Ovis aries: one gene and its partners. The protein of the gene in region 3 purifies or fractionates together with the protein of the main gene of each other region. This does not show direct contact. Links are inferred from orthologs where the notes say so. Each region holds a gene or a part of one and is shown on either strand. Other genes may lie near its edges.

Evidence for each region.
Region 1: the proteins of MRGBP (region 3) and EPC1 purify together in Homo sapiens (affinity purification with mass spectrometry; 6 studies listed by BioGRID and IntAct, counting the BioPlex papers as one, with this or other methods). This does not show direct contact. The link is inferred for Ovis aries from reciprocal best matches to the Homo sapiens genes MRGBP and EPC1.
Region 2: the proteins of MRGBP (region 3) and EPC2 purify together in Homo sapiens (co-immunoprecipitation; 4 studies listed by BioGRID and IntAct, counting the BioPlex papers as one, with this or other methods). This does not show direct contact. The link is inferred for Ovis aries from reciprocal best matches to the Homo sapiens genes MRGBP and EPC2.
Region 4: the proteins of MRGBP (region 3) and ACTL6A purify together in Homo sapiens (co-immunoprecipitation; 4 studies listed by BioGRID and IntAct, with this or other methods). This does not show direct contact. The link is inferred for Ovis aries from reciprocal best matches to the Homo sapiens genes MRGBP and ACTL6A.
Region 5: the proteins of MRGBP (region 3) and BRD8 purify together in Homo sapiens (affinity purification with mass spectrometry; 10 studies listed by BioGRID and IntAct, counting the BioPlex papers as one, with this or other methods). This does not show direct contact. The link is inferred for Ovis aries from reciprocal best matches to the Homo sapiens genes MRGBP and BRD8.

The regions. Positions count from the first base shown.
Region 1 is NC_056066.1:32,530,189-32,534,461, forward strand, and holds the start of EPC1 (enhancer of polycomb homolog 1), read left to right. Parts: upstream 1-1,462; 5' UTR 1,463-1,704; coding exon 1,705-1,857; intron 1,858-4,273. UniProt on the Homo sapiens protein: Component of the NuA4 histone acetyltransferase (HAT) complex, a multiprotein complex involved in transcriptional activation of select genes principally by acetylation of nucleosomal histones H4 and H2A.
Region 2 is NC_056055.1:160,774,409-160,777,920, forward strand, and holds part of EPC2 (enhancer of polycomb homolog 2), read right to left. Parts: intron 3,208-3,512; coding exon 3,048-3,207; intron 2,098-3,047; coding exon 1,637-2,097; 3' UTR 793-1,636; coding exon of another isoform or gene 720-792; 3' UTR 1-719. UniProt on the Homo sapiens protein: May play a role in transcription or DNA repair.
Region 3 is NC_056066.1:54,281,699-54,285,659, reverse strand, and holds the start of MRGBP (MRG/MORF4L-binding protein), read left to right. Parts: upstream 1-1,152; 5' UTR 1,153-1,306; coding exon 1,307-1,454; intron 1,455-1,947; coding exon 1,948-2,069; intron 2,070-3,802; coding exon 3,803-3,884; intron 3,885-3,961.
Region 4 is NC_056054.1:208,341,943-208,346,089, reverse strand, and holds the start of ACTL6A (actin-like protein 6A), read left to right. Parts: upstream 1-1,345; 5' UTR 1,346-1,514; coding exon 1,515-1,539; intron 1,540-4,147.
Region 5 is NC_056058.1:47,270,503-47,274,442, reverse strand, and holds the start of BRD8 (bromodomain-containing protein 8), read left to right. Parts: upstream 1-1,135; 5' UTR 1,136-1,144; coding exon 1,145-1,163; intron 1,164-2,336; coding exon 2,337-2,433; intron 2,434-3,940. Other genes in the region: kinesin-like protein KIF20A, read right to left, coding at 1-99. UniProt on the Homo sapiens protein: May act as a coactivator during transcriptional activation by hormone-activated nuclear receptors (NR). Isoform 2 stimulates transcriptional activation by AR/DHTR, ESR1/NR3A1, RXRA/NR2B1 and THRB/ERBA2.

The DNA of each region.
Region 1 (4,273 bases), about 22 Mb from region 3:
TAGCAGGTACTCAGAGGGCCCCTGAGGTCTCAAAAAAACGTTTGCTGGTTGAGTCAGTCAATGCATCCTCTTAGTACAGGACTTGTAGGTGAATGTCTGCTACACAGAAGTGAGCTGTCAGTATTTGAGTTTGATGATAATTTTGGAGAACTGCAATCCCGTTTTCTCCTTTCCTTCTCCCCACCCCATCCGGGTGGTAGCTAAACCAGACTGAAAGATAACACCTTGCTTCTGTGCCTTAAGCTAATAACAGTTCCCATCCAACCCATTATTTAAGAAGTGATTATTTTTATTATGTGTCCCCTGGGGAGAAAAGCGGAGGTACAGAGCATTTTTGGATCTCGGTGAATATTTGAAATTTTACTGCCAAACCTATTAAATCCACCGCAACAGTCTTTCGGGTTTTTAAAATATTCTGCTGGAGAGGGCTCTCTGGATACTCATTTTCATGTGTAATATAAACCACATGGTAGCCATCATATCCATCTAAATACTCATCTAATAGTTTTTCTTTCTAAAAAAACATTTTGGGGGGGGCGGTTGGCAGGAGTGCTATAAGTCTTCAAATAATTGTAAAAAGTTTTTTAGAGGACAAGTGTCAACCCATGGTTAAATAAGGTAAAGGTAAAAATAAGTGTCAACCCATGGTTACGTTGAAGCAACATTTTCTTCCAGTGCAGAAAAATCATCCGGCTCTCAAAATGTGAACTAGGTCTTGCTTTTATATTTTTTCCGTAAAGGGTTACGGTGCCCGATAATTATTATTCCCTTTACTTCGATGACAATAAACGTGACTGTGGGTCGATAAAAATGCAGGATGAAAAAATAAATAAAACCACCAAAATCCTAGTTGGAGCAAACGTAGGACGCCTCTTGTTTACACTGAGCGCAATGATGGGAACTGACCCAGGATCCAAGCGGAGACGAGCAAATACCGTCCAGAGTTTCCTTACACGTAAAGATAATGGCCGGTTAAAAAGTTCACTCAAAGTAGCATCCCGGCCCGAATGGCGTCTGTAGTTTCGTTATAAAACTTGAGACGCCGCGCCGGCCGGGGCTGGGGGCGCCCGCTCCCTCACCCAGGGCCCGGCCGCCAGCGCTGACAGGTGCCCGGGGCCGTCGCCGCGCCGAGGGGGTGCTGTAGCTTCGCTGCACCCTCGCCTGTCAGCCAACGGCGCCGGCGGGAGCGAGCGCGGGACGGCGGGCGCGCAGGGCGGGAGGCCGGCCGTGGTCCCCGGCGTCCGAGTGCCCCGCGCGCCGCCCAGACCCGGCCGGTCCGCCCGCGACCGCGGGGGCGGGGGCCGAGCTGCCGGGCGCGGGGGAGCGGGGCCGGGCGCCGGGGGTTGGCGGGACGCGCGCTCCGTGCCGGCGCCCGGCCTCGAGCCCGCGGCCCCCCCCCCCCGCGTGCCCGCGCCGCTGCGCGATGCAGTGTGGGGAATGGCTGGGGTTGGCTGAAGAGCGCACAGTGGAGTTTTAATGTCCGCCATGTTGGCCATGGCGTATTGAGGAGAGCGAGCGAGAGAGGAGCGGAGCGTCTCGGCCTCCCACCTCCAGGCGGCTCTGAGTGCCCGGACGGCGGGCCCCGCGCTCCGCCCCTCCAGTCCCCGGCAGCGGTGGGCGAGTGGGGACCGAACCCCCGGTTCTCCATGATCCCGCTGGCCGGGGCCGTTTCCCCAGAGCGGAGAGGTATCTGCTGCGCCTGAGATGAGTAAACTGTCGTTTCGGGCGCGGGCGCTAGACGCCTCGAAGCCGCTGCCGGTTTTCCGCTGTGAGGATCTGCCCGACCTGCACGAATACGCCTCGATAAACCGGGCCGTGCCGCAGATGCCCACCGGAATGGAGAAGGAAGAGGAGTCGGTACGTGTTAACTCCCCTGTCCGACCCGCCGCCGGGCCCCGCTCCCTCCGCTGCCTGCGGCGGCGGCGGAGCGCAGACCCACACAAAATGGCCGCCATCTTCTCTCCGCCGCCGACTCCCGTCGCCGGCCGGGCCTTTACCCTGGGGCCCCCGGCCTCGCCCCCCGGCCGCCGCGGCCCGGCGAGGCCTCCTCTCGGGCCACCCGCCGACCCTGGCCCCTCGGACGCGGGGCCCGCGGAGTTCGGGCGCCCGAAAGGCACAAAGGGGTCACGTGACGAGGCTGCCGGCAGCCATTTTGTGGTCGGAGCGCTTGGGCTGGGCCTTGTGCATCCGGAGAGGGAGCGGGCGGGCGGCGGGGGGTGCGGCGGCCGGGCCGCGGAGGCCCTGCCTGCAGGCCTCTAGGCGGGCCGCTGGGTGGCGCTCTGGGGCCGGCTCGGCCTTCGCGCGCCGCCGGCGCCGGGAGCGCAGGTTCCGGGCGCTCGGGTGGCGGTGCTCTCTCGGCGGCCCGCAGGCTGGCGGGGCTGCGCGGCCCACGTGGACCCGCCGAGAGGCCGGGCGGGGTGGCGGGCGTCCTGCAGCGGAAGGTCGAGGCCGGCGAGCAGCCCAGAGCCGACTTGCGTCCTACGTCCTCTTTCTGGGACTTTTGCATCCATTCCTCCGAGTCCTACTTAATCGGAGGGTTGTCAACTCCTGCTCCTCCTGACTTTTTCTTTGATCCTTGAGAACATGTTGCAGATTTTGAAGGGAACTCCGTGGCTCTTCTAAAGCCTGTGTAACTTTATTATTTCTTTTCCTAATAAAAATGTAAGTTCGCCTGATTGCTGGTTTCTCAACCTGCGGGAGACAAGACCCAGTCTAAGTAGATGTTAACAGATCTCCGTTTAGAAAAAGGGTTCTTTCTTATCCATCACCGAACTCAAGTGGAGTGAACTCTTAACCGGGAGATGTTTTCCTTGAGGGGGGGGCTTCAGTGTTTAAATGTTGACAGCTTACAGACACTGTGTCGTAGCTGTGGCTGTCCTTGGTCGTGGAAGTTGGGCTCAGACACAAGACTTCGTCTCGTTTCCCCCAGATCCTTGTCGGTGTCATTCGATGCCGACTAAGGAATTGCATACCTTGGTTTTCAGGTACAGCCACTTAAACAGGGGGGGCAGTGTGTTGACAGTTCAAGAAGTCGAGGAGTCGCTGGATTGGTACTACAATTTTGTGGTGGAAAACTATATTGTAATACCTCTATTTGGTACTGTACGGAATTTTTTTAATGTAGAAATTTTGCTCTGTACTGTTGATTTTGAAAATAAAGCTGTTGAAACTGTTTGGGTTGTTCAACCTTTTAAAGTCAAAAAGTTGTGACAGTTGACTCTTCCTTCGGAGAGTAGTGTCTTTAGCGTGTGTAGTAGTTGAGATTGTCTAGTCCTGACTCCGAGCACGTTACCTATGAGACAGAATCTCCTAATTTCTTTTACTTGTTACCAACTTTGAGAGTAGAATGGTGCCGTTTGTTTATTTTTAAATGAGTGATTTGTTTTTAAAAATTAAAGTACTTGTGACTGCAGAATCTTGTCTTTTGGTTTTATTTTTGTTTCTTAAGTTTTACAAATATGCTTTCAAGATGGGGGTGTCAGTGTTAAGACTGACCTGGAAATTAAGTTGTGGCTATTGTTTTGCCCCCAAGGAGCTGCAGAGCTTTGATAAAAACAGCACTACACAGTACACCTTAGAAACATACTGAAGTCTGGCTTCTTTGAACACTTCGGGCTGTCTCAGGAGCCACAGCCTAAGATCAGAGCTGAACCCAGCTGGAGTACCAAGGCTTATTACATTTTTACGGATAATTTTCATTCACTGAAAGAATTTTGACGTTTGTTATTTTCTAACATGTAGAGTCCCTATTTTTCAGGGGATTTTTTCCCCCCTCAGACTACCTTCTCCTATCATCCGTTTAGAATTTGTTTCACTTCACATCCAACCAAAACTATGACCAGTGAAACGGAGACCTCAGGAATAAATACTGAAGAGAGGAATGTAAACAGTCCCAGGTGGAACAGCTGCTCTCCAGTCCTGTGGTTCATACTGGCCAGAGGAGGCTGTGTAGCTCAAATCACAGCATTAAAAGTAGCATGTTGATGTTGAAAACGTATACTAAGCACAAATAAAGGTAACTGAATATTGAGTTAGCGTTAGAAAAACAGTCCTTTTGATAATTTGCTAAAGAAGGATATGCTTCTTATAAAGACAAAAGATTAAAACAAACGTCTGCTTCTGCTTGACACGTTAGTTAGGGTCAGGAGTTGATCACGAAAGATGGGACAGGATTAGATGACAATAGTTTCATGTGTGTGTGTCACCTTATGAAAATTGTGTGGACCATACCTGGTAATTGTTAGCGTATTTTGTTTCTGTGGTAAATGTGACG
Region 2 (3,512 bases), on a different chromosome or scaffold from region 3:
TTCCTAGTCCTTTTTTTCTGTGTAATCATTTTTTATAAACTGGTATTATAAATAGAAATATACATTCAAAATATATGGAAAAGTGAGTCACTACATTAAATTTGCATGTATCGATCCATCCCTTTCCCCTGCACAGTAATAGAAAATACTATTTTGCCTTGAACTTCATATTTGACAGTGAAATGCCACTAAAGTATTTACCAAAAAGTCCATCTAGTCAAATTGTGAAACAAAATGAACCAAGTGAAAACTTTACAGTTCCTTTAGAAAAAAATTACAAGAATTTCATTTCCTAGCTATGAATCTTTAACTTTTTAGACACAAAGTTGGATTTATTTTTACAAGATACAAAATGTAAACATGGCAAAATAAATAGTTAAAACAAGTGATGCAGGATCCCATTTCATGCTCATGATCCCATTAAAGAATTATTTTTTAAAATCCATTCAGTTGCAAATTCAAGTGCAAAAGCATGATGATGAATATCTACTATTCAAGTAACAGAAATAATATTGATGATACAAATAAACTATTTTACAAGGTAGTGATTTTCCCAATTTTACAAAATATACATCATATATCGATTCAACATCCGATATACTATAGTCCATTTAGGTCCATTGTTATCCTCTGTGATCCACAGAGTTTCGCCTTTTGCATTCAGCTGGAATATGAATGACTGCACACCATCAGCACAGGTCAAAGCCACATGTTTTAGGTTATGTCACTTCCATAGCTACTGTTGTCTCTGCTATTCCATTTAAACCCAATCTTTCTGGTTCATGGTTCTCTCTATAATAAGGCAAAGAGTAAAATAAACATTAATACTCTCTAGAATATGATGTTTATCATTTAGTATTTACAGATGTGTTTTATATAATTACAATTAAACATACTGCACAAGAACATCTCCCATTTTTACAGTTTCCATACAGGAATAAGGAAAAGTTTTCTTCAGTTAAGAAATCCTATGAACTTGATTATAATTATTTACTTAGGAAAAAGAGCAACTTAACAGTATTTCAGTAGCAGTCAATGATAAATTACTTATCAAACATATAATATAGGACAATTCAAGCTTTTTACAATAGACAGAGCAGATGATGCTCATACATAATAATAACTGGAAGCACAACATTACTTAAATTACTTTCCACTACAGTTTAATTTTACAGCTTATGGTCATGTAGTTATTAATCTATGCAGATCAATTTTTTTGATTCACTGTTCGCATGCATTAGTGTCACAGAAAGAAAAAAGCAATCTGAAATACATTATCATAGATTTAGTTAATTCCAGGATATTCTCAGTTCTAAAACATACACAAAATAATTTACTTTCCCTTTGGGTGTAATGTTAAAAAAATACAAATTTGATTTGAAAACTAAAGCTCTGAAGGCTAACAATAACTCTAGCCTGCCAGACTGCCTAAACTACAAAGAAGAAATATAAGAATAACTAAAGCTGATGTATTTTTTCAGTTTGATGGTTCCCAAGTTGATGTGGACTATCCTCCCCCCTTTTTTAAAGTAACAGTTCTGATTGGCATTTAAACATTCTACTAGGGACCTTAAAGATCTAAGTCATACAGCTTTAGACTAAGCAGATATTCAATATCTGTTGAAAAGCAAGTCAATCAGCTGACAAGATATCTATGGTTTGAGCAGTAAAAGAAAAAAAGGAAAAGTCTTCTCCTCCCACAGGATCTGAGCCAGCAGAAAGAGACAGAATGATACTTGAAATACACACACACACACACACACCTGGCTATGCTGCTGATGGCACTGCTAGGAGTAACCTTTGGCACTCTGTCCATACTGGCAGCAACTGTGGCGAGTTTTAAGGCTGTTGGCGATGGTGCTGAAGTCCGTGTATTGATATGCACATTGACTGGAGAAACAACACTGACGTTATTGAGGTGCACTGCATTTGTCAGGCAGGAATTGTTCATGGGAAGTGTTTGAGGACTGCTTGTGCACAATGCTGGGATTAAGTGGTTTGTAGTGGTGTGGCCAACTGTCCTTACAAGCTGTACAGCTGAAATCCCTGGGCTGGATGATAAAGCCATATTGGTGGAGTATAATGTTTTAGAGGTTCCTGAAGGAGAAGGAAAAAAAACTGTTCAACTCATGAGACATTAATTAAACTCTTTAAAAAATTAGGAGTTTAAAATGCAAACATTTGTAATCTAATTAAATCTCTGAAGAGAGTTTCTAATCAATAACCACAACATATTCACCTGTACAACCCCAAAGATACCCTCTTTCTGCTAGCCTGCATAAAACAGTTTTGCAAAGTATTCTGCTGCCTTCATATATGGAAACTGTGTAACAGGACAGAGAGGTCTTCTTGGAGACTGAGGGCAGGTGGAGATGAAAATTGGACTTCCATTAGAATTTGCACAAGGAAGAACATCAGTAAGGAAGGGCAATCACAATCATAGGTATATGGAATAGCAAGTGGAAAATCCTAGGGTCTGAGCAGAAGTTAAAGGCTGATAGGAAGAACAAAGTACTCTCGGTAGTTTGACGCAGAAATAGTTTCACAGCAATACTGTACTTCACAAGGAGTCACAGAAAGCAGGGCTGTGAGTGTGTAAGACTGGGAAGGTAAATCCAATTTCCAACTTCTGACAGATCATCTGGACTATTAATATAATTCTCCTCTTTAAGAATGTACAAATGATTCAACAATGATGGTTAGCAATTGGCTTGATGTGACTGGTAAGATGTGAGGCAAATGATAGTATGTAGATAAAACTAGGCAGGGTGGACTGTTACACAGGTAGGTATCAACTGGGCATGGGAGGACCCAGGGAGCAGGCTTGATGTGACTTTTAGAAACATCAAGCTATTCCACCACACAGAGCCATAGAAATTATGGAGTCCTAACTGACTTCTTGTACAATGTTTCCCCTCTGGATTTAAAAATCAACCCCCCCCCCCCCCCCCCCCCGCCAAAAATAAATAAATAAATAAAAAACCAAATCTCAAATCACTGAGTTGCAACTTTGAACTAGTAAGTATCACTTGAAACGACAGGCTTACCTGAAGGCTGGACAACACCGTTTATGTTGCTGTGGCCAGTGTTCTGTTCCTTGGCTACCTCACTGCGACTTGGAACAGGTGCACTGACCACTGCAGATGCAGCAAAATGGGCGCTGGCTGAGTCAAGTGTTTTAGACATACAGTCAGAGGTGCTTGAGCCCTATAAAATGAACAAAGTTAAACTCTCAACTTTTCAGATGTGAGTTCACAAACACTTAAAAAAGTGAGATAACCCAAGAGGCTGTTGCCTTTTTCATTCTGAATAGTTAAAAGTTTTTATGTTAAGAGATCTAGGACTTCATAGACTATTTTCATCTGTGAAATAAGAAAGTTACTAAACTGAGAAGCAACTATTTATGAGAAAGAGCTAGGGCAATAAACAATCCAAATCTTTATGCCCTATTCATTTTTCCAAGTGTTAATGCCTTTAAAAATACTTGACAATCGTTACTATGTCTCATTATG
Region 3 (3,961 bases):
AGGAGCAGGGACCCTGAAGTGTCTGGGAAGTGTAGGGAGATTAATGATGAGGGCCACTGTCTGTTAGTGCTTTCTGTGTGACAGAGCCCGAGTGAAGTGGCTTTGGGCTGTGCTCCATTCCACCTCACAGCAAGCCCTGAGGGGAGCCCCACTTGTGGGTCAGAGAGAGGAAAGAAGCACAGGCCCAGCAAAGTCACAATGTCCCTCCACATCGTGGCTCCAGGACAGCCGGTGGCACTGGGTCACTGAAATCCTCCCTGGGCCACATGTCCCCACTCTGTGGGGACTGGCATCACCAGCAGCGCTCTTCACACAAGGGAGGACAAGACTGAGTCCCCACTGTTCCGGGGGTGAGGCTGGCCAGAGCGGTTCCGAATGCCGGCTAAGAAGCGCGAGCGTGTGCCCAGGGCACCCCAGGATAAGGCGCCGCCGTTAGTTGCACTGCAAGGAGGACACCTGCGGCCTGGAGAGGCTCAGCGTTTTGCCTGGCTCACACGGCTGGCAAGCCGCAGAGCCAGAAAGGGACCCGGAAGGCCGACCCTATGTCTACACCCAGGGGGAGACGAAGAGCAAGAGCGCTCCTCGCCTTGGGTAACCGCCCGGAGCACCGCGTGGGCGTGGCCTGACGGAGAAGGGCCGGGGAGAAGCCCTCGGGGGCGGGGATGGGGCGGGGCGGGGCGGGGAGGAGCCGGCGGTCTTGATTGGGCGCAGCTTTGAGCTTGTCACCTGACTGCCCAGGCCGGCCGCCCCATTGGCCCCGCCCCTCCCGACCAGGGTTAACCCCCAGGGCCCAATGCTGGTCACCCTGGAGGCCCCAGGCGGGAAGGCTGTACCCCGACGTCCCTGCCCCGGTGTGCAGGAGCCTCTCTGTGCAGCGCTCAGGCCAAGGGTCAGCTGGAGGCAGTGGAAGCCCTTGGAGCCCCCACTCGCAGGAACTGTAGGTCGCCTGTTCTTTTTCTTCTTTGCTTCTTACTGAGGTGCAGCTTGCAATCCCGCCATCGTAAGCGCAGAGTTCAGCGGGGTTTACCCCGAGCTGTGCAGCTACGGGCACAATCTAATTTAGGGCATTTCCATCCATCTACGCAAACCCACTCCTTCGCCTGATCCGCCTGCTCTGCCGGCGCTGCGCCGCGAGACCGTGCCGCCTGGGGGCGCGGCGACCCAGCGCTCAGCTGCGCCTGCGCCTGCGCCGCGGGAGAGTCCGAGAGCGAGCCCGTCGAGCGCGCGCCCACGCCGCGAGTGCGCCTGCGCGGAGCTCGTGGCCGTGCCCGCTCCCGCCCGGGGCTCGTCGCTGGGCGGCGGGGCCATGGGGGAGGCCGAGGTGGGCGGCGGCGGCGCGGCCGGCGACAAGGGCCCTGGGGAGGCTGCCACCAGCCCGGCCGAGGAGACGGTGGTGTGGAGCCCCGAGGTGGAGGTGTGCCTCTTCCACGCCATGCTGGGCCACAAGCCCGTCGGTGAGCAGAGCGCCGCGCCGGGGCGGCCCACCCGCGTGGGGGCGGGGCGGCCGGCAACGGTCGGGGACGCGCGCTGGGCGGGGCCTCCTGCGCTTGCACCCCGCCGACCGTGCCCTCACCTGCGCACCCTGCCCCCACCTGCGCACCCCATCCATGCTTCCTCCAGCAGTCCCCCACTCCTGCCCACGCTGCCCCCTTCTATACCCTACCCCCACCCGACTCTGCCCCCTTCCTGTGCCCAGCCACCCATCCCGGCTGACTCCAGCCCTCACGTGCACCCCCACCCCTGTGCCCTCGTTACACCTCCGCTGCACACCCCTGCCTTTTCCTCTCCCACCTCTCTCCGCTGCACCTCCTACCTCTTCCACCCTCCACCTTTGCCTCCCTACACCCTTGCAACCACTGCCCGCTCTCTCCCCCTTGCCCCCTACCTCTTCGCTACCCTACCAGCTGGCCTACCCCTCCCCCACAAGCCGACCCCTTCCTTCTGCAGGGGTGAACCGGCACTTCCACATGATCTGTATCCGAGACAAGTTCAGCCAGAACATCGGTCGGCAGGTCCCATCCAAGGTCATCTGGGACCACCTGAGCACCATGTATGACATGCAGGCACTGGTGAGCTGGACCCCCGCAGACAGAGCTGCTGGCAGGGAGCCCCCTCCACACCGCCTACCCTGCCTTTGTCCCCACCCCCCCCACCCCCCACCACCAACCACGTCCTACCTTGACATCCAGGATGTCCCACAGGTGACCAGTTGTTAAACAAGATAGCTCTGGGTAGTTTTATGAAAACACAAGCTTGGTGACAGTAGCTAGTTATTGCACTGAATCTACCTTAGATTTTGGGGGGGAGTCGAGGTTCAGTTAAGATCTTTCCAGGAGATAACTAGGGAGCTGAGGCCTGTGTGGGAGGGGGCTCTTAGGTTGTCAGTCCTGTGGAAAACTCCCGAGTGCTATAAGCAGGGAGGTGACCGGGTCTGAGTCACATTGAGATGAACATGGTGGTTTCTGTGAGAACTAGGCCAACCCTCAGGGAAGACCACCCTCAGGGAACCCCCAGATGCTGGGTCTGAGGGAGAGCAGGTCAACTTGGTAACCAGGACAGCAGAAAAGACAGGTGGGTGTTCCCTGCAGAGGAACAGCAGGAGTCAGGGCCCTGTGGCAGCAGGCGTCAGGACTCGGGGCTGCACCCGCACCCCACCCTGTGCCCCTCCCTCCTCCCTCCCTCCCACCCTGAGCTTCTAAGTGAAGCTCAGACCCTCTTGTGTCCTTAACCCTCACCACCACAAGTTCCCTGTTGGCCTTGGGAAAGTCGTTTGCATCTCCTTGTCCCAAGGCAGAGAAGGAAGAGAAATGACAGTACTGCTCTGACCCCGAGCCTGCAGTTAGCACCCAGGAACTCGAGGTCAAGCTGTTGAACTGAAGCAGGCCGCCCGAAGGGCTGTGCCCACCCGTTGGGGCACCACTCCCCCAGAATTCCAGTGTTCAGCAGCTTGGCAGGACCCCCCATGCTTGTCATGTTGGGGTGTCACCTGGCCCCCAGACGCTTCCTGCATCTCCACTCCAGGCTGGGGCCCAAAGCTGGACACAGAGACAAGTATGGGAGGGCCCCTGTCCTGAGGGGCCTTTGGTGCGGTAGACAGGACAGATGGCTCTCAAGTGCAGACGCTGGCTCAGAGGGTGCTGAGGCAGTGATGCCCCGTACAGGGTACGGTGATACTCTGCTGTGGGGGCCACCAGGGAGGCTCTCAGTCCAGGACAGGTGGCCCTTCCTTCCTCAGTTCCTTGGACCCCAGCACCGCTATAGAGCTGATGCCATGGTCACCTGGGACCTTGTAAATATGGGTCTGTGGATCTCACCCCACAGGATGACCGTGGGCCCAGGAGCTCTCGGGGTTTGTGAAGCTCCCAGCTGGCAGGTGGCACACTTACTCACTGACCACCTGGCTTGCAGCTCAGCTCCCAAGTTGGGGACTAGAAGCCCTGTCTCCTGAATCCCCTCCCAACCCAGAGACCCTTCCCACCAGCTCACCTTTCCCTTTGTCTGGTGGTGGTGTTTCTGGCTCTCTGTCCCTCCAGGCCTACGTGATCTGGGGAACAAGTGGAGCCTGGCGAGCATTCCTGGTGGCTCCTCCATTTTGCTTTGTTTGCCTGGTTTCCACGAGAGAGAACAAAGGCCTCAGGCCCCACGCCTGCCCACTGCAGCCCCTCGGGACAGCCATCTGTGCTCATTGGTCACTCCTGAGTTGGCTCTTACATCTCTAGTCACATTTTCTTTTAAATGTGATATTTAAAATCATATTTTCTTCTTTGCTTCTAAAAAAAAAAACACCCTTGTTTGTCATCAGCACGAGTCTGAGATTCTTCCGTTCCCAAATCCAGAGAGGAACTTCATCCTTCCAGAAGAAATCATTCAAGAAGTCCGAGAAGGTATGACTCGGGCAAGGGCAGATTTGGGAATGGGAAAAGGTGTCAGGGTGAAGGTCACGAGCCTCAGAGAGTGAGGG
Region 4 (4,147 bases), on a different chromosome or scaffold from region 3:
GGAAAGATTGAAGGCAGGAGGAGAAGGGAAGGCCAGAGAATGAGATGGTTGGATGGCATCACCATCTGGTGATGCAGAAGGAAATGGCAACCCACTCCAGTGCTCTTGCCTGGAAAATCCCATGGACGGAGGAGTCTGGTAGGCTACAGTCCATGGGGTCCCAGAGAGTCGGACACAACTGAGCAACTTCATTTCACTTCACTGACTGGATGAACATGAGTTTGAGCAAACTCTAGGAGATGGTGAGGGACAGGGAAGCCTGGTGGGCTGCAGTCCATGCAGTTACAAAGAATCAAACACGATTTAGTGAGTGAACAACAACCGAGATTACACTAAGTGAATAGTAAAGGGTTTTCTCACTAGCCTTGTTCCCTATCCTACAATCACTTTCTGCCACTCTGTGGCACTGAGATTGATGGAGTTAATCAATTGTTCTTAAAAACTACCTATATGTCTAGACTCTAGACAAACTAATTTAAGGACGGCTATTAACCTCAAGGATTTACAACATGACCGTGATTTGGGAGTTTTTATAGATCAAGCTGCCTGCTAAGAGGCAAAGGGACAAATTGTTGTAGTAATCCTGGGAGAGGGACAACGGTGATCTGACTGGGTTGGTAGACACAGGGGACTAAGAACAGACCGTTCCGAGATGTGTTTAGGATTAGGTGCTCGCTCAGGTGAGGACTGATTACATTGTATTACACCTGCCTCACAGGATAAAAGGAATTGATGACACATTTTAAGCGCTACTAAAGTTAACTGGGATACTGTGTCATCTCCTTCTTTTAATTATTAGTAACCACTTTTAAAATTCCAGGGTCTTATCGGTTTGTCTGGTTTACTGATGCCCTCTACCCCAAAGTGGAGGATAACATTCAATTTTTTCAGTTAGTTGAAAATACTTTTTCTGAAAAAAATAAAAACAAAAAACAAAAAAACACCAACCCTCATTCACTACAAGCCCAAACCACGGGTACTCCTGGTGGAGACACTTTCTCAAATTCCAGACTTCTTTTTCAGAGGCTTAGCTTGCTCTACCGGATTCCCACCTCTCCTCCGCTCCCAGCTACATCCTGAGCCCGCCCCAGACTGTTGCCTCCAGCCTTCCTCCTCCCCCTCCAGCTCCCTCCGCCCCACTTTCCCTCCCACTAAAGAAGCCCCGCCTCCCCGGTTCCGCAACCCAACTCCTTCCCTCCTTCCGTCGCTTTCCTCTCTCCCCGCCCCTATGGCTGCCTTCGATTGGCTAAACTGGCTGTGCCGCGACAAGGCTGTAGCACAGCCTTATTTTTATTGGTTGAAGTGTAGCCGGGCCTCTTGTGATTGGCCGATAGCAGGAGACAGCAAGTGTGACTGCGTTCCGGGTGTGTGTGGCCGCCGCTTTGTTGCCTGAGGGGGGTGGTGGTGGAAGTTAAGGGAGTCGGGGGCTAGCGCTTCTGCAGACCCGCAGTCGCAGCCGTTGCAGTCATTTCGCCAGGTGGCCTTTACGAGTAGAAGTCTCGTCGACAGCAACCATGAGCGGCGGGGTATACGGGGGAGGTGAGTGCGGTCGGTCGGGAGAGCGCGCCTTTTTAGCTTGTGGGGTTTGTAACCGCCGCCCCCAGCCCTCCCCTTCCCGGCGGCCCTTCCGGTCTCCCCCTGGGGACCCCGGCCTCCCCGCCCTATCCCCGCCCCGCGCTCTGCCCGCCTCCGGAGCCCACCCGGCTCGGCGAGCGCTACAGGCGCCGGGAGTCGCCGCCCCCTACGGCCCCTTCCAGCCTCGGGCCGCCGAGGAGCCGACTTTTGGGGCTGCGCGCGGTCCGGGGCTGGTCGGGCAGCTCCACTCGCGGGCCAGGCCCGGAGAGCCGCGGCTGGAGTGACTGGCCGCAGGGTCACCTCTCTCCCAGCCGGCTCTGTCGCGGTGTGCGCGCCCGTTTAAAGTTGGGAGGTCCCAGCAGTTCGTCGGCGTGGCTGGAGGGTTTCCGCGGCGTCTCGGAGGTGGCACAGCGAGCCGCGAGGAGTGGAACTGATTGGAGGAGTCGTGGCCACTCAGGACACAGCCTCCTTCTCCATCCGCGCTCACGCAGCCTCACGCCTTTCAATAACTTCTCCCTATTTGTTGACTGTGGATGCTCCGGACTTATTCGTGGGCGACTCTGCACCGGCGTAATTTAGGAACATATGCAATTTAAGGTTGCTTAAAGATGGGTGGGCTCCTGTGTAGTGAAAGATTACCATGGGCCTGGGTTGTAATATCAGCCTCACCACTTAGTAAGCTCATTGGCCTTGGGTAAGTTACTTAACTTTTGCCAACTTCAGGTTCGTCGTTTGTAGAATGATAATTCCTACCCATTGGGGTGGTTGTGAAGATTAAACGGCGGTAATGCTGCACTTACTACTAAAAGTATGATCCAAGGAGCAGCAGCAGCAGCATCACCTGCAAGCTCTTTAGAAATGTAAAATCTCAAGCCCCACTCTAAATCTACCGAATTGGAGCCTCCGTTTTTTCGAGATGCTTAGATGAAGCATTGATGTATATGATTCATGTTTTTGATGAATTAGAGAAGAAAGAAACTCAAAGTCGTGCTTTTGTTACTGTGTTCAGTAAGGATACTGTTTTCTGAGCGGATGGAATATTATAGGTAGGAGATGAAAATAAGCTTTTCAAAGTTTTTAGTAGTTTTGAAGTGAAGCTTGAGTTTCTGCTCAGGTGACACGCTGGCCCTCACCCTCTCCTTCTCCATATATGTTTTTGGTTTTGATTTCTGAAGTGTAAGAATCAGTTTTCCATTGTTACTTTGGAGAAAGCCTAGTGGATCTTCATGATTTACTTTTTCCCCACCTGAAGATGTAATTCTGACAAAAAAGCTGAGTATACGTGCTCGTGGAGGCTGCAGACTCTATTTTTTGTTTTGTTTCGTTTTTGGCCTCACCATACAGCCTGTGGGATCTTAGTCTCCAGATCAGGGACAGAACCAAGCCCCCTGCGTGGGAACCACAGAGTCTTAATTACTGGACCACTAGGGAAGTCCCTCTCCAGTGTTCTTGCCTGGAGAATCCCAGGGAGGGGCGAGCCTGGTGGGCTGCTGTCTATGGGGAAGTCCCTGCTGATTGTTTTGACTCTCAGGTTCACTCATCTAAGGACCTAAAGGTTGTCCACTGAGTATTTTAATGTGAGTAAGGTAGAAATGGATACCAATAATTGCAACAGTCAACATTTATTGAGTGCATCCTGTGTACCAGGAACTGTTCTTCATGACAGAGGCTTGTAATGCATTGTATTTAATACATGCATTGTCAGTTAATCCACAACAGCCATGGGAGGTGGTTCTACTTTTCCCCATATTACTAAAGAAGAAAATAAGGCATAGAAAAGATTAACCAGCCTAGAGTTACATAACTTTCTAGCAAATGGGCAACAGGAACTTCTGGGATAAAGAAAAGGCATTTCAGTAAAACCTTTTCTCATTAAAAAAATTTTAAGTCATTTTTCAAGTATATAACCACAGCATATTCATGTATGATTTAGATATTCAGAATAAACATCACTTTGTTCATGTAGAGGAGTATATCTTAAAGCCTGTTTCACATATAAAGTATTTAAAACTGACAAAAATAAGTGTATGATTTTGTGTTTGAGCTGCTACTGTATGACCAGTATTTATAGTGGGTCACATTTCCCAAAAGGTTTACTGTAAAAGGCAACGAAACCTCCCACCCACATTTTGTGTGTAATTAACTTAGTAAACTGTATTTTTAACTAACTTGCTTATAAAATGAATGTTTGTAGTTTAATTTTTAAAATTGGTAGCTCTTTTATTCCAGTGTTTTTTTCCTGATCAGACCTAACACTCCGCTTTAGATCTAATGCACAGTTCATCCAGATTTTCACACTTTCCATAACTGGTTTCTGGGCCTACTCATTGCTCCTGTGTCTATCTTACACGGTACTCCTCTGCTTCAGTCTCCTTTCCTTGACAGAAATAAACAGGTATACTACCGGTCCATCTTCGATACTTCATTACTTTTATCATTCCACAGCCCCCCTTCCCATCTCTAATCATAAAAACTTCTCAAAATCATTCTCCCTGTGAATTGGGGCACCCTTGTCCAAACAAAAAAGTAAAACAGCCTTCTTACCTCTTCGCAAAGTCAGCTTCCAGTATCG
Region 5 (3,940 bases), on a different chromosome or scaffold from region 3:
AGATCCCAAATCTGCAGCTGTGGACTCAAACATGGGGGAGACTACGACCTCCTCATCGGACAGCAAGCCAGCTGGTGGAGAAAGGATCCCTTGCGACATGGCAGCAGGGGCAGTTTAGGTCTAAAAAGAGACAAGAGTGGGTAGGGAGGAGAACCTTAAGGGATAAAAGGGGCTGAAGAATTCGCCCTCTTTTCTAGGTAAGAAACAATTCCCTTGCCCCAGGGCAACCTAGTCTCGCTGCCTGAATTCCTACTCCCTTCTCCTTTCGACTACCAGCAAACGGGAAAGAGAGAAAGAGTTAATCATTTAATCCAATCTGAGGCAGCATTTCGGACCGCGAACAGGAATGAACAGATATCTAACTCCGAAAACATAAGGCCAAGTTCCAAGTAGGGAGCCTCCCTCAGCCGTGTCAGAAGCCCTAGGCTCATTCTCTATACCTCGCTTCTAGGCCCACGGTGAGGACAGAATTATTAAGAAAAACAGAAATGGCGGCAGTTCCGCTTTCTGAATGCCTAATCCGCCAGAGCAAAGGTGCCCCAACTTGACTCAAGTTCAGCCGCACACTTACCTAAAGACGCCACACTTCTACGGGACCGGCTCACTCACACCCCACAGCCGAAACTGGGCTTTCGGCAGCTTGAGAGGACAACCCCACCCACGAAGCGCACCTTTGTTTCTGATACAATGTTTTAAATTGCGCGCTGAGTTCGTTCGGCCAATCAGATAGCGAACCTTGCACCTACCAATCAGTGCAAGGGGGCGGGCGAAACCCGGAAACGGTTTTCTTAGGCTTGACCTCTCTGCTCAAATGTGGGACGGGTTACCAACTGTTGGATTTTGGAGCTGGGTCAACTGGAACTTCTGTTTATCAGTTTTTCTTGAACCCTAGGCATTTCTTTTCTAAGAAGCCTGAAGGAAATCCTAAGGCTTCAGCCACCATTCTCTGTTCTTTCGCACATTCCTTCTCAGGAACTCACAAGAATACCTGATTTGGGGCGCTGGTTCATCCTAGGGTGGGGAGAGGGGACTACATTTCCCAGGACGCACCGCGAATAAACGCTGGAACGCTATCTCCCAGAATTCCTTGGGCTTCAATTCGGCCAGAAATCTTCCTTCGGGGGTTGGAGACGTCGGGGCCAAGATGGCGACGGGAACGGGCAGTAAGTATCTGCCTTGCTCTTGCGTGGAAGGTGTTTGTAGAACCAAGGCCAGGCAACAGATCTGTCACACTCTTAGGGAGTAGAAGCAGTGATTCACCTGAGAGCCCAGAGCCATCAGAGACTTGGGCTCGAGCGGCGCTGTTAAGGCCAGCGGTTGGGGGTTGAGGGCCCAGAAGCGTGAAGTCTTACACTTAAGTAAGGCCGCGGAGTTTTTTTGCTTTTAGAATTTTTATTTATTGGCTGCGCTGGGTCTTCGTCGCTTTCCGTGGACTGTTCTCTAGTTGCCGCGAGGAGTGCTCCTCTCTAGTTGTGGTGTGCAAGGCCACGGAGCTTTGAGAAAAGCAGCCTAAGAAAATTCTTGTATGTTTGTCAGCTCTGCGGGGTGAGAGGGAAAAAAGGTGCCTTAGAGGCTCCGGCGTGCGGACAGAGATGCTGTGAGCCATATGGAGTGGCCGGGGTCCCAAAGAGTCATTTTCTGACGAACATTTGTGAGGCCTGTACTCACAGAGAGATGGGACATGTTAATCGTGAGCTTTTTCTGCCACTAGGGAAAAAATACATTTCCTGTATCTCAGCCATTTCCCTCTGTTTCAGGGACTGAGAAGGTCTTGTAGGCCTAACAGCTTGAGGGGAATGGGTGTAACTGAGAGAAGTAAACAAGTTTATGCTAAGAAGGAGGCGGGGCAGTAGCGGGGGTTGGCCGCTCGGAATCCTGGGAAATAAGGCCTGGGGTCCACTTTGGAATAAAGCATTCTTTTTTTTTTGGCCAGGGCAGAGCTGGGAGGTTGGTGGTTGGCAGGATCATGGGACCCACGTCCCCTCTAGGGAAAAGGCACAGACTTAACCACTGGACCACCAGGGAAGTTCCTGGAATAAAGCATTCTTAAAACTGGGTTTTTTGGAAGAACTGCCCTAAATTAACTTGACTTTTTTTTTTTTAAATATGGTAGAGTAACCATGGCATTTACAGAAAAATGTTTTGCCAGATAATCAAGTGCAGTTCTCAAGCAATGAATAGGCACCATCCTAGTGGTGGTGTTTACTAGAGAGGTGAAAATCAAGATTTGGTGATAGTGGCTCACTTTGTCCTTACAGGTTAGGACATTTTTGTATTAGACTTTTAATCCTCCCTTTGGGACTTAGTGCCTCAGTGGTTGTCTCTAAATCTTTCAGAACATAAGCTGCTGAGTACTGGCCCTACAGAGCCATGGTCCATCCGAGAGAAGCTGTGTTTAGCGTCTTCTGTCATGAGGAGTGGAGATCAAAATTGGTAAGGTATTTAGGATATCTGCTTCCTTGGGTATTAGAAACCGTTTTTTTTTTTTCCCCTTCATGTAAGTACCGGTGGATTCCAGTAGTTAACGTTTAAGCAGTAGTTAACAGCCTTCTTGAGATGCAATTACATATCACAAAATTATATTCACAGAATTCCCAGTATATTCACAGGATTTAACTTAATTTATTAAAATTATTAAAACTTATTAATATTTAATTTATTAAATTCACATAATTTACATAGGACCAATGCTAGAGTCTAATTTTACATTTTAAATACACTTGAAAGAAACCTCTTACCCTTAAGGAATCACTCTGCAAATCTCTTCGCCTCTCTAATATTTCCGCCTCCCTCACCAAACACTCATCTACTTTCTGTCTCTCTATAGCTTATTCTGATCATTTCATATAGATGGAATCATATACTTTGTGGTACTCTGGGGCTTAGCATAATGCTTTCAGGGTTCATGCTGGAGTATGCATCAGTACTTTATTCTTTGTTTTGATGAAATTGTAGTTCCTTGTATGGGTTTACCACATTTTGTTCATTTGTTGATGAACATTTGAGTGGTTTTTACTTTGCTGAATATTAATGCCGCTGTGAACATTTGTGTACAAGCTTTTGTGCAGGCATGTTTTCATTTCTCTTGAAAGAGTGGAATTGCTGGATCATAGTTGAGTTCAGTCACTCAGTCGTGTCCAACTCTGCTACCCCATGGACTGCAGCACGCCAGGCTTCCCTGTCCATTACCAATTCCTGGAGTTTACTCAGACTCATGTCCATTGAGTTGGTGATACCATCCAACCATCTCATCCTCTGTTGTCCCCTTCTCCCGCCTTCAATCTTTCCCAGCATCAGGTCTTTTCAAATGAGTCAGCTCTTCAAATCAGGTGGCCAAAATATTGGAGTTTCAGTTTCAACATCAGTCCTTCCAGTGAATATTCAGGACTGATTTCCTTTAGGGTGGACTGGTTTGATTTCCTTTCAGTCCAAGGGACTCTCAATGGATCATATTATAACTCATATTTATCTTTTTGAGGAACTGCTTTCAAACTAAAAAGTGGCCTCACCGTTTTACATTCCCACCAGCAATAAATGAGGGACCCAGTTTTTCTGCATGCTTGGCAAACATTTAGTCTTTTTGATTATAGCTATACTGCTGAGTGTGAAATGGTATTGTATTGTGGTTTTAATTTGTGTTTCTTTTAAGTACCAGAAAGTAGGACTGTGTGTGTTTTCCAATCTTTTTTTCTACCAGGACATAGTCTCATTTTTAACATTTGGTCTCCCCGCCCCCGACTTTTTTTTTTCTCTCCGTATCTAAAGTTACCTTTTAGTTGTCTTAAGTGTTAAAATTACTTAATAAACAAATTTGCATTTGTAGGGTTTATCTCTACTACTTTAACCATTCAAATGAGTTTATGAAAGCACCATTACTGATCACATGTAACACTTCTACAATTCTATGTATTTTTCAAATAACTTTTCAAAGAGAAAACCA